2 linked regions of the Caenorhabditis elegans genome follow. The protein of the gene in region 2 interacts with the protein of the main gene of each other region in a pairwise test. Each region holds a gene or a part of one and is shown on either strand. Other genes may lie near its edges.

Region 1 (6,175 bases), on a different chromosome or scaffold from region 2:
AACACATTGTAAAATAACCGTGCTTTGTGAAACGAAAAACAAAACAAATTGAAAGATTGTGATATTGTAACTGTAACGGTTTTGCAGAAAGAGGATAATCGGATTTGAACAGATGCCTGTTTTAAAAATTGCATTTTTGTAATTATTAATACTGACCAGTCATTTTTAGGGTGTTTATAAACAATCTATGCTATGAAAAATATAATTTCCTGGTAGTCAAAAGTAGAGAAATGGATTGGCCAAATCTGACCTCACTTAAATTTTTGGAATTTTAATGAGGCATTGGCGACAGTCCCGTTGGTAATCTCCTTAATTTATTTCAATGCGGATTTCCAAATGTACTTTGAAAATATATTTTTTTAAATTCTCTTGGTAATTTATTTATTTTTCAGCTTCATCTGTTTTTGTTTTAAACTAATAGTTTCTCACTTTCATTTTCACAACAAAATCAAGTTTTGATTAGAAAGAGAAGTAGTATATAAACAGAAAAGACATCGAGAACGGCATCACTTCACCTTCTAATTCCAAGTGAGTTGGGACTTTTCAGATTATTCAACTAAATATTAATTTCCAGATATGAATCTCTTTTTGATCTTCGCTGCTTCTACTTTAATTTTCTCTGCTCACTGTCAGTATTCAAGTGGCGGAGGAGGTGGTGGTTACTCAGGTGGTGGAGGTGGTGGAGGAGACGCTGCTCCACCTCCTCCTCCACCTGCCGATGCCGCACCAGCTCCAGCCCCAGCTCCGGAACCAGAAGCCGCCCCTGCAGCACCAGCAGCCGATGCCGGAGGTTATGCCGCTGCTGCATCAGCCGGCGGTGGATCATATCCAGCCAAGAAGAGAAGAGTTGCTCGTGACTATGCTGAAGGAGGAGCTGCTCCAGCTGCTCCAGCAGAACCCGCTTCAGCTCCAGCTCCAGCACCCGAAGCGGCTCCAGCACCAGAACCAACGCCAGCTCCAGCTCCAGAAGCCGCTCCAGCTCCGGCACCAGATGCCGCTCCAACAGCCCCAGCAGCAGGCGCAGGTGGATATTCCGCCGGCGCAGATGCTCCAACTGGTGGTGGATCTTATCCATCCAAGAAGAGAAGAGTTGCTCGTGATTATGCTGAAGAAGGTGCCGCTCCAGCTGCGCCAGCAGAACCCGCCCCAGTTCCTGCACCAGAACCAGCACCAGAAGCCGCTCCAGCACCAGCACCAGAAGCCGCTCCAGTTCCGGCACAAGATGCCGCTCCAGCAGCCCCAGCAGCAGACGCAGGTGGATATTCCGCCGGCGCAGCTGCTCCAGCTGCTGACGGATCTTACCCGACTAAGAAAATGATGAGATTTTCTCGTCTCGTTATTTAACTGACACTTTTTTATATCCCCATGTATCTCTCTCACTGTAACCGGTTCATAATTTTTACGGTTTTTAATAACTTCATTTCATTAATAAATAGATTCATCATGTGAGTTTTACGAGGTATTCGGAGTAAATGAGGTTTGTAAAAAGATCAGGTAGAAAATAGTGATTCAATTCATTGTGTAGACCTTGGGAAGCTTCGGAAGCAAATTTTCTAGATTTGACAATGGTTCAAAAGCTCCATCAACGAACAGCTGAGGGAAGGTTTCACAATCTGATAATGCTTTTGAAATAAATCGAATTTCAGAATCTGTGGAAACATCAAATATAGTGTAATCTATTTGATTATCACTGAGTGATTGTATTGTAGATAGAGTTTGCTCATCCTCAAGATAATTTACAAAAAGAAGAACTGGTTTCCGGAAGATTTTGTAAATTTTAGCTTGACCATTCTCCATTTTTGAATTATCATTTCGAATTTCACTTTCTTCCTGAAAACATAACTTTTAAAATTGTACATGAATTTCAGTTCAGAACAAACCTCCCTTTGAGCTGTTTGTTTTGTCAATTGATCTGGAAAATTTGTGGCTTTTCTGCTAACGGGTAGTTTTTCTGGATTTGCAGTGTCTTCTTCCAAAGTTTCAAAAGTTGGAACATCAAATGGGTTAAGCTTGTTAATTAGTTTCTCAACTTTTTGAATTGAGAAATTGTCTCTCTGGAAATTTAATGATTGAAAATTTTAAGAGAATGTTTTAACTTACCTCTAGTTCATTTATTTCCAAAACGATCAGATTCAAAATATCGTCGAACTTGTCCAATTTTCTTTTTGCTAGCTGTGAATTTTGCAATTCAATGTACTCCGAAGCCACGTTTCTGAGGTCTTCAATCCTATTCTGAACAACTGTTACAATGATCTTCAATGCTTTCAGGTCATTCACAAATTTGTCTTCATTGGAATCCCAAAATTTGAAGACACTTTGAAACTGGAGAAATTGAATTCGCATTTGGATCATTGCATCTCTGAAAAAAATTTAAATTTGTTCAGTGTCTAATTTCATATTTTAATAAAAATTATGGTTTCCGCAAGTTTTCGCAATTCAAAATCGATTAATTATGAATGTGAGCAAATCTTGAATTTCACAAATGTTCCGCGTTTTTCAACGGAAAAATTACGGTTTCAGGCAAAATTTGTATGCTAAAATGAAATATTTTATCGAAAAATACAAAACATAAAATTAGGAGTGGAATTGAAATATTCAACTGAAATTTCGGAATCAAATTTCTTGGTTATAATTTGAAAATTTGGACTTACAATTAATACCTAATTGAATTTTTCTTATTCCACCTCAGAATTTCAGCTAAAAGAGCCTTTTCTAATCTGAAACTTACTGTCTGAACATCTTAAAAAATTTAAATTATTTCGCAACCGTCACTAGTTTTTCATGTTTTAGGGAACGTTTCTCTCACCTCAAAACTGTGAGTTTCACACCTAAATCCTCTTCACCAGCTTCACTTTCCAATTCGGGTTTCAGTTTCTCCGGAGACTTTCCAAAAACTCCGCGCATCATCGTTTCCTAGAAGGACGAAGCAAAAGAAAGAAAAAATTAAAATTGGTTGGCGAAGAATAACTAGTTCGAGAAAAAAGCAAACATATAAATAGTGTAAGAGAACGGAGACGCAGTGTTTCATAGTCAAGGCTTTTTCTCTGTTTCTCTTCGATTTATATGGTGCATCGGTGAGGAACAGGAGGATGGCAGAGAGGCTAGAGATGCCATGTGAGAGGGATACCAGGGTTCTCTGTTCTCAGATATGACCAAAAAGTCAGAAAGAGAATTTTAAGAAAAATGAGATATAAAATTACTGTTTCAATGGCTTTTTAAGCACAGCTCAAAAATGGAGGATTTTTTCAAAAAAAATCTTTCAAACGCCAAAATGTTCCACAAGTTTGTCTACATGATTCCTATTGAGGAAATCTCATATCCAAACTCTGGAAAAAGTTCAAGCAGCTGATATCTCGCGAGTCATTATTTGACAATTATTTTTGAAACTTAAGAATAGTTTTTTTTAAGAGTAGAGTTGCTTTAATAAAGCACAAATAAAAACGTTCTAACTACATTTTTACGTACGTCCTTTCGGAAAATCTTGCAGAATTAACGAAAAACTAAAATCGATGAAATTCGATAGCAAATCATATGAATGAATAGTTTTTAAATATCATTATTTTTGAAAAAATTTATTTTAAATTGATAATAAAAAATAAACAATACATATACATATAGCTTAGAAATTGTGTGATGCTCAATTCATTGTGTAGACCTTGGGAAGCTTCGGAAGAAGATTTTTCAGAATTGGCAATGGCTCAAAAGCTCCATCAACGAACAGCTGAGGGAAGGTTTCACAATCTGATAATGCTTTTGAAATAAATCGAATTTCAGAATCTGTGGAAACATCAAATATAGTGTATTCAATTTGATTATCATTGAGTGATTGTATTGTAGATAAAGTTTGCTCATCCTCAAGATAATTCACGAAAAGAACAACCGATTTTCGGAAGATTTTGTAAATTTTAGCTTGACCACTCATCATTCTACAATTATCCATTCTGATCTCATTTTCTTCCTGTAACATAATTTTGTAGCAAACTGTAAGAGATTTAAACTCACTTCGAGTTGAAAAGTCTCCCTTTGCGTTTTAATTTCTAGTTTTTCAGGAATATTTCCCATTGATGAAACTTGAGTATTCAGTTCTAATACGACGCCTTGAATATTTTCGTAAATTGGCACGTCGAATGGATTGAGATTGTTGATTAGTTTCTCTACCTTCTCGATGAAAAAATTTTGGCCCTGAAATTCTATTCTTAAATTTCTAAAAAAATAAAAAAACATTACTTTTGCTTTGCTTATTTCGAATGCTATTTTATTCAATGTATACTCAAAGCTATCAATAATTGTCTTCAACATCTGGAGGTTCTTGATTTTGAAATATTCTCCAACTATCAGCTTTATATCGTCAATTTGGTTTTGAACGACTATAATTATAACATTGAGTGACTTCTTTTCGTGCTCAATTTTGGCTTTATTCTGATGATAGAAAATACTTTGAAAATGTAGAAACTGAACTCGTAATTGAATCATTGCATCTCTGAAAATGTGCTTTCTGGTGAACGCAATATGTTTCCTATATACCTTAAAACTGTAAGTTTGACACTGAAATCTTCCTCACTTGAATGCCAAGCAGCTTCATTGAATTCTTCTGAAGAGCTTTCAAGATAATTTCCCATTTCAGTTTAGTAGTTTTGAAGTAAACAACAAATGTGTTGAAATGGAACACAAAACAGTCAGTGTGCAGTATTCAAGTATTCAACTGATAAGAGTATCACCTGGTCGAGCAGCAAAAAGTAAACAGCACATGCGAAATGATAGAAACATTTTATTAAAAGTTGATGTCATTTGAACCGTAAATGAAAATGAACCAGTTGGTAAAAGCAAGATCGAAAATGTAGAATAAAAAGTTTTCAAAAAACGAGACGGGAGAAGCGCATCATTTTCTTGGCTGGATAAGATCCACCACCTCCAGCTGGAGCAGCAGCACCAGAGGAGTAACCACTGGCATCTGATTCTGGGGCTGCTGGAGCAGGTGCGGGGGCAGGAGCAACCTCAGGTACTGGAGCTGGTTCTGCTGGAGCGGCATCTGGTGCCGCAGCCGGAGCGGCTTCTGGTGCTGGTGCTGGTGCTGGAGCTGGCGCTGGTTCTGGTGCTGGAGCCGCTTCGGGTGCTGGTGCTGGAGCTGGAGCTGGAGCTGGGGCGGGTTCTGCTGGAGCAGCTGGAGCAGCTTCTCCTTCAGCATAATCACGAGCTACTCTTCTCTTCTTGGCTGGATAAGATCCGCCACCGGCGGGTGCAGCCGCAGCGGCATATCCTCCAGCGTCAGCTGATGGTGCAACAGGTGCGGCTTCTGGAGCTGGAGCTGGAGCTGGAACTGGTTCCGGAGCTGGTGGTGGAGCAGGGGCTGCATCGGCAGGTGGTGAAGATGGTGGTGCAGCTTCTCCTCCACCACCTCCACCACCTGAGTAACCACCACCTCCTCCGCCACTTGAATACTGACAGTGAGCAGAAAAGATTAAAGTAGAAACAGCGAAGATCAGAAGGAGATTCATACCTGGAAATTAATATTTAGTTAAATAATCTGGAAATCCCAACTCACTTGATGAGGAATTAGAAGGTGAAATGATGCCGTTCTCGATGATTTTCTGTTTATATACTGTTTCGCCTTCCAATAAGAACTTGATTTTGTTGTGAAAATGAAAGTGAGAAGTTGAAAATGTAATAAAATTGAAGAAGCTAAACAAGGAAAACAAACAAATCGCTTCAAAAATTATTGCAGGCTTTGTTAATTTTATTTTTGCAAAGACACTGAAAATTGAAGTTTTTTTTTTGAAAATTGTGAAAACAATATTAACTTAAAGATCTTCACGAATTGCAGGATTTTTTTAAACTATTTATTTGAAATTCCTAATATTTACGCCGACAAAAATCACTGTCAAAATTAAACATATACATTCTCATATGTATCACTTCTTCGGTTCGAAAGATTGCAAATCGTTCTTCCTTTATCAGTGTCTTCACGAAATGCATAAATCGTTCGTAGTGTAAATTATTAGGACCCGTTTCTGATAGATGAACTTCTAAATTAACTTGACAGAGTTCTATTCCATTTCTGTCAAAACTTCCGTCTTTCTCGAAAATTTCAAAAAGATCGTATTCGGCACCTTCGGAGTCCATCCACAAATTGTCAATTGTCTGAAATAATAGTTTTTGAAACTTAGAAAAGTTTAAA
Region 2 (6,353 bases):
TTGACCAACTTATCATTGTCGCGGCGACCGGAAACAATTTTTTTAAAATTGTCGTCTAATTTTGGGTATACAGGTCAATTATATTGCGTTTTCAGCTTTATTAAGGTATTTAAAAGTCGATGGACGAAGAGATTTGTCAATTTTTTTTACCAATTCTCTTCGTCCATCGACTTTTAAATACCTTAATAAAGCTGAAAACGCAAGATAATCGACATCTATAATTAAAATTTGACGACAATTTCAAAAAAATTGTTTCCAGCCGCTGCGACAATGATAAGTCGGCCAAATTTCAAAATTTTACTAATTTTAGGCCATTTTTCGAGCCGCCATAACTTTTTTTTGAAAAGTTTTCAAGAAGATTCATTATGAAATTCGGTGTTTTCAGACAATTCTGAGTCTAATAAAGCAATAAAAAAATTTGACTACACCACCTTTAAGCAGCGCTTGTTTTTTCTAGAAGCTATAATGTGTACTTTGAATGTAGACGTGAGTAGGTCGCAGACGTGATTTGTCTTGGATGCGGGCAAGCATGGTTGTGCTTACATACGTAAATGAAGATCAAGAATTTTAATTTCAAGAATATTCCAGTACTCAAGAAATGTATAGTTTTAGTGGGTACATAAAAACGTTACTTTAAAAATTGTAATCTGAAGATTTGCAGCCACATGAAAAAAAAGTGTTTTAAAATTCTTCATATAAATACTAAACAAGAAATTTCCTAAAATCTTTTAACAGAAAAATTCCTCTTTGATACAGACATATAGTCATCCCGCAATTAGTCACGATTTTTTTGATTCATGTTCACTTCCAGAGCTACCAAAAATTGAATTAAATTAATCATTTATCAATAATTTTTCACGACCCCTAGAAAAATCACAAAAAACAAGCACAAAAACAGCATGAGAAGAACGAAATAAAACCAAACTATGGAAATATCGCCAATGTTTCGCCGATTTTGCGGATGATTCTTGCAGCATCTTTGATGTTTTCCACTCCATTGGTACAATGTGCAGCACACTTTTTCCCGATTTATTTGGATTTCTTCAAATTGAATTCCACTTTCTTCATCGTCCTGGCTTTCCACTTTGATTCCAGGTACTTCTATTGGAACTGAAATTGAGATCAATTTTTTTTAAATAATAAACTAAAAAAAATCACTCACTGGAAAACCGTACTTGACTTGTACTAGTACTAGGATATGAATCAGAAAGCTCCATTTGTAATAAATATCAATAATATTATGGAAAAATAATAGAAGTTTTGATTGACGCAGATGCGACAAAAATCCAATAAAAACGTGAGATTACTGCCTCAAAAAATTGTGCGGGATTTAATTGATGAGATGGGGGGACGCACCGCACACGCGTCGCTCTTCAACCTGTGACAAAAGTTTGGAAAGATGAGAAGGTCTTTGAGCAATAGATAATCATCAACAACTTTTTTGACATTTGTTCCAGAAAAGAATAGAGAAAGTTTTTATAAATTTAAAGCGAATACTAAAACTTTCACATACATATGTAGTTACATGCTAGCATATTGACTCTAATGCGTCTTTCCAGATTCTCAAAATTTTTTTGGCAATTACCGAAATTTTCGGCAATCGGTAATTCTGGCAATTGCCGATTGCCGGTCACTTTTGGCAATTTTTAATCATAATTATATTTTGAACCATGACAAAAGTTCAGTTTGTTTTTCAGTATTCGGTTAGTCACTTTCTAATAGAAAACGTTCAATCTTAAAGGATCAAAACAGTTTGAGCTTGAAAAGGAAATTTTATTTATTTATTTAAATGCATGGTTAGGCTTCTAAGTCTACAAAAAGTATCAAATTTATATTTCCAGGAATTTTAATTTTCGGCAATCAGCAATTCCGGCAATCGGCAATTTGGGCAATTTCAGCTGCGCAACCATGATTTCAAGGCAATGGAGCATGAGGTCTATCTGTTTTCTAAAAAGTTGGCCATAGTCCAACCAATCGCACATGACTGATTGTCGTTATTACTGCATTTTTAAGAAAGATATATGTAAGCGTTCCCCCATCCACTCAGCCCTCTCCAATAATCAGAGATTGAATTTATCGAAATGTCAAAGTGTAATTTTGTTGGTAACCAATGTGAGAATCGGGATGATGAAACTTTGTATTCGAGAAGGTGATTGCTGATAACAAGAGATATGAAAAATGTACTGTTCCAAAAAATTTATATCATAATCAATCATCTCGTTGCGCGTGTCATTGAAATATGAAGCGATACACTTTCTTGCAAAATTTATTTCTGATAAGATATTTGTGCTGGGGAGCTATTTCTCAAACCGTCCCTAACAGGTCACACTTTTACAAAAATATTTTTTGACATTTTATTTCAATTTTCAAAATATAGAATATTGGCAAATCACTATGTTTACATGGAAGCTTAAAAATTTTTTTTCATAAAAAATACACTTTTCACGCGTTTACAATTAATAATTTGGACTGAAAACTACTTGTGGATTTTAATTTAAAAACATAGCAATGAAATTTTTGAATGTCCTTGATGTTTTCCACTTCATGCTTTTGGGCAAGTGGTGGGAGAGGTCGTTGGTTCCTGAAACAAAATTAAATTAGAAAAATGCAATTCGGCTTTGTGATTTTTAATTGATAGAGCATAGACAAATGGTGGCCTAAAAGTTAGTAGAAAACTCTAACAGACGTTCAAATTGAATGTTCAAACATCAGAATGAATTAAATGGAACAGTCAGCTGGTTTTTATCAAGTCCAAAGTATATTCTTACCTGTACACAATCCAACAAATTACCCTTCTTTGCTGCATCACGCTCGCGAATTCTTTCTTGGATGATTATCTCAGTGTGTTTGAGAATTCGAAGATCTACTAGTGGCTGAAGATCACGGTAAAGCATGAAATCAATGTACTCTTCGGAAAAGATAATTCTCCCATCCGGGCCACGTGGTTGCTCGTCAAGTGTTGGACATTTCCTGGCTTTCACTGAAAATACAGGAGTATAAATATGGTAAACAAGTACCCGCGAAAACGTTTCAGAAACAAAAAAAAAATTAATGAAGTCTATCATTTGATCTTTTGAACACGAAGAATTCCAAAAATGGATTTTCCCACAGGCACATGAAAAAGTGATGTTTGTAATGGAAAGCATGAGAGATTTATGCTGCAACATTAAACTTATTTATAGGAATTTGAAATTCAAGTATTTGTACTTTGTAACTGATTTATTGATACCTAGATTCAACAAAAAATTGGGCTACTTTAAAGACACCCTCCTGAGCATGATCAACAGAGCACTTTTAACGTAGAAAAACAGAAAGTTAGTCAATTTGCAGTTTTACAAAATATTACCAGCAGACTGTTTTTTTTTGTTGCATAGTTAATGAGCTGATGGAATAGTGTATCTCGTTAGAGATAGAGTAGGGTCTTAGGATGGGGTAATTTTAAAATGTTACACTTTCTTTTAAAGCATTGTTTCAAGTTCAACCCCTTCTGATTTTCAAATACAAGAAAGCAAAATAGATTCATAATATTTTGCTTAAAACTTGTTTGAAACCCCGTTTTTTGGTCGACTTCCAAAATTATGAGTGAAAAAACCGAATGATTGCTATTTGCAACAGAAAATATGAAATATCACCAACTTGTTGAAAATTTTGTTACAAAAAAATTAAATAGCTCACTTTTATGATATTCAATAATTTTCAGCCTTTGAAGTTCCTTGTTCTGAGCAGCAAGCTCTTCCAAAGGAACATCCAAATTATCATTGATAAAATCCTCTGCTTGTTTTCGCTCCTTTTCGGCAATTGAAGTTGAACTTTCGGCATTTCGGTTGATCGGCCTTGAAGATGACGGTCTTCCGGAATACATCAAAACCCACTCCATGACTTGGTCAGCTGAAACACGAAAAATGAGTGCCGCGCAATTTCTTATACTCTCAATATTCTCAGAAATGACTCCGCCCTTCAGTCAAACAAGGGCAATTACTCATCCAGGGGAAAGGGGGAGGAAGAATGTTCTCTGCAAAAACTTGCTCATTGAGCTCAGCAGGATCACTCAGCCACTTGTCAGACATTTGGGTGGAAATCAAGAGAGATGAGAAAGAAGAAGAAAAAGATAGAAGCTTGCATAAAAAAAGATTTTTGCAAATGCAAGTGAATCATTTGTTCCACCATGGGCGTGACAGCTCAGGATTACGTTTGAATAATTTTGAATCAACTGGAGCCATTATCTTTTGAAACCAAATTAGACTAGCGCACTAATTTACTAATCAGACTAAATTTATTTTTCAAAAAACTTGTAAATACTCATTCGCAATCATATAATCTTGCACCAAAAGGCATATCGTTGTAGAGCCTTCAAAATTTGAAAATGCATATAAATATGGTACATATATATATATATATATATATATATATATATATATATATATATATATATATATATGTATACATGTGAAAAAACATGTTTAAGTAGTTATTTTTAACCTTGTTTTCCACAAATAAAACACGGAACAACAATTTTTTTTAAATCATAAAACTAGTTTCAGAAGTTATTTTTAAAATTGAAAAAAGAATCCCCCAAATTTGCTCTTTAACGTATTCAAATATCATCCACTTTTTTCGTGATTTAATTTTTTCGATTCAAATTTCCGATTTTTTTTTCAGCCGTTTTTTATCTCCCAAATCCTCAAGTTTTCATTAAAAAAATTCACTGAAATGAAACAAATGAACAAGTTGGCAAAGAAAAATCATGAAAATTGGATTGCATGGTGCCGATCTAATTTTGAAACAAAATAAAACGAAACGAGGAAAAGATCTTTTGAATTTGTAAACAAAAAGTTAATGAAATGGAAATTGGAATTCGTGTGGAGCAGACACAACAATGAATGAAAATCGAAAATAGACTGAAATGAGGAAGGACATTTGAAACTAGAAATCTAAGAAAAAAGTTATGGGAATAAGAATTTTTTGCAATTCAACGTATGTTTACAGGTATTTATAGATTTACAAGTTACGCTAATCAGAAATTTGTGAGGAAATGATGTAACACGTAGGCGTGTGAGTTGCAGTGCCCAAAACATGTTGGGTGCTTCGAAAAACAAAACTGTGGCTGGCAAGTTACTTCCGCAGAAAGCGGGTTATGAAAACAATGCACACGTAAAATTGTTTGTCAATTTGAACAAAAAATTTTCATCAATAAATATATAAACTGTTACTTTAAGTCCCAAGTAGTTTATAGCAAAACGAGAAAAGTGTTGAAGTTTTGGAGACCACGATACAAAAAATTCAAGAAAAAAAAATCAAACGCAAGATAATTTGCCTGGAATCAAATCTGAGAAGAAGTAAAAATATTTTTTTCTATAAGATTTTGAATATAAATCAAATTTAAAAAGTCTGGTCTGGCCAATTTTTGTCTCATTTATTCATGTCGATGTTCTTACCAGTCTTTAAACGCTTTTAAATCTTTAAATCTTTAAGTCTTTAAATGTTTCAGATTATTATTTTTTAAATAAAAAACATGACCAAATTTGATTTATAATTTTAACAGTTGTAATGCTAAAGTGGTACCTACATATTACATTTTTTTAACATTCGGTACGGATAAAAAATTATTAGGTGCGCCACGCCATACTCAAAACTTAAAAATGAAAACATCACTGTTTTTTCACATTATTTGAAAAAACCTCACCAACTTTAATAACCAACTTCCTTCTAAAAACAAATATGTTTTTTTTTCTTCTTTTCATTTTTGAAATCTCTGATCATTTTGGAGAAAAACAGTTATTTTCAAAAAAAAATTGAAAAATATTTATTCTCTTCCTTCGCGGGTCTTCTTTCATTTTATTTCACTATTATACAAATATTTGCTCCTGGTCTGTAGGAAAAAAGTTACGCACCAAAAAAAATGACCAGCGACCAACAACACAATAATATTGCTGGAAATGTTAAGTTGACTGAAAACAGAAGTGCCGAATATTGTTCGAAAACACGGAACTAAAGGGCACGGTAGAAACGGGATTTGTGTTTTTGGTATTAGAATAATGAAATGCAAGCAACTCAAAGAACTGGAATTTTTTTTGTTAAGCTGAGAGGAACAGGAAATTGTTTTTTCGAAGGATTTGCATTCAAATTGAGTTTTCGAATTGTGAGTTCAATATGGAGTTCAAAAACATATTTCGAGGCTTTGATGTGTGTCCAACTCGGTAGGTATCAATAAATTTTGACAGAAAAAGTTTAGCGTATACCAAGTTCAAAAGTTATAAATTCATTTTTTAAGTTCACTTTTGAATAAACTGATATAAATTGTCCGTTTTGAAAAGCAACCAAGCTTGGCAGAATTTAGCATCAGCTGATGAAGT

The links. The genes of interacting proteins can lie anywhere in the genome.
Region 1: the proteins of M03B6.1 (region 2) and F47B8.3 interact in a two-hybrid assay, tested with the Caenorhabditis elegans proteins (one large-scale study listed by BioGRID).

The regions. Positions count from the first base shown.
Region 1 is NC_003283.11:14,319,970-14,326,144, forward strand, and holds F47B8.3 (Glutaredoxin domain-containing protein), read right to left. Parts: upstream 3,035-6,175; 5' UTR 2,908-3,034; coding exon 2,807-2,907; intron 2,360-2,806; coding exon 2,101-2,359; intron 2,055-2,100; coding exon 1,881-2,054; intron 1,831-1,880; coding exon 1,510-1,830; 3' UTR 1,398-1,509; downstream 1-1,397. Other genes in the region: F47B8.14 (Skin secretory protein xP2-like), read left to right, coding at 577-1,344; F47B8.4 (Glutaredoxin domain-containing protein), read right to left, coding at 3,638-3,958, 4,003-4,182, 4,228-4,480, 4,525-4,619; F47B8.18 (Skin secretory protein xP2-like), read right to left, coding at 4,854-5,495; F47B8.5 (Methyltransferase FkbM domain-containing protein), read right to left, coding at 5,851-6,138.
Region 2 is NC_003284.9:13,839,152-13,845,504, reverse strand, and holds M03B6.1 (uncharacterized protein), read right to left. Parts: upstream 3,896-6,353; 5' UTR 3,878-3,895; coding exon 3,676-3,877; intron 2,981-3,675; coding exon 2,769-2,980; intron 2,582-2,768; coding exon 2,543-2,581; 3' UTR 2,183-2,542; downstream 1-2,182. Other genes in the region: M03B6.5 (uncharacterized protein), read right to left, coding at 845-1,110, 1,163-1,217.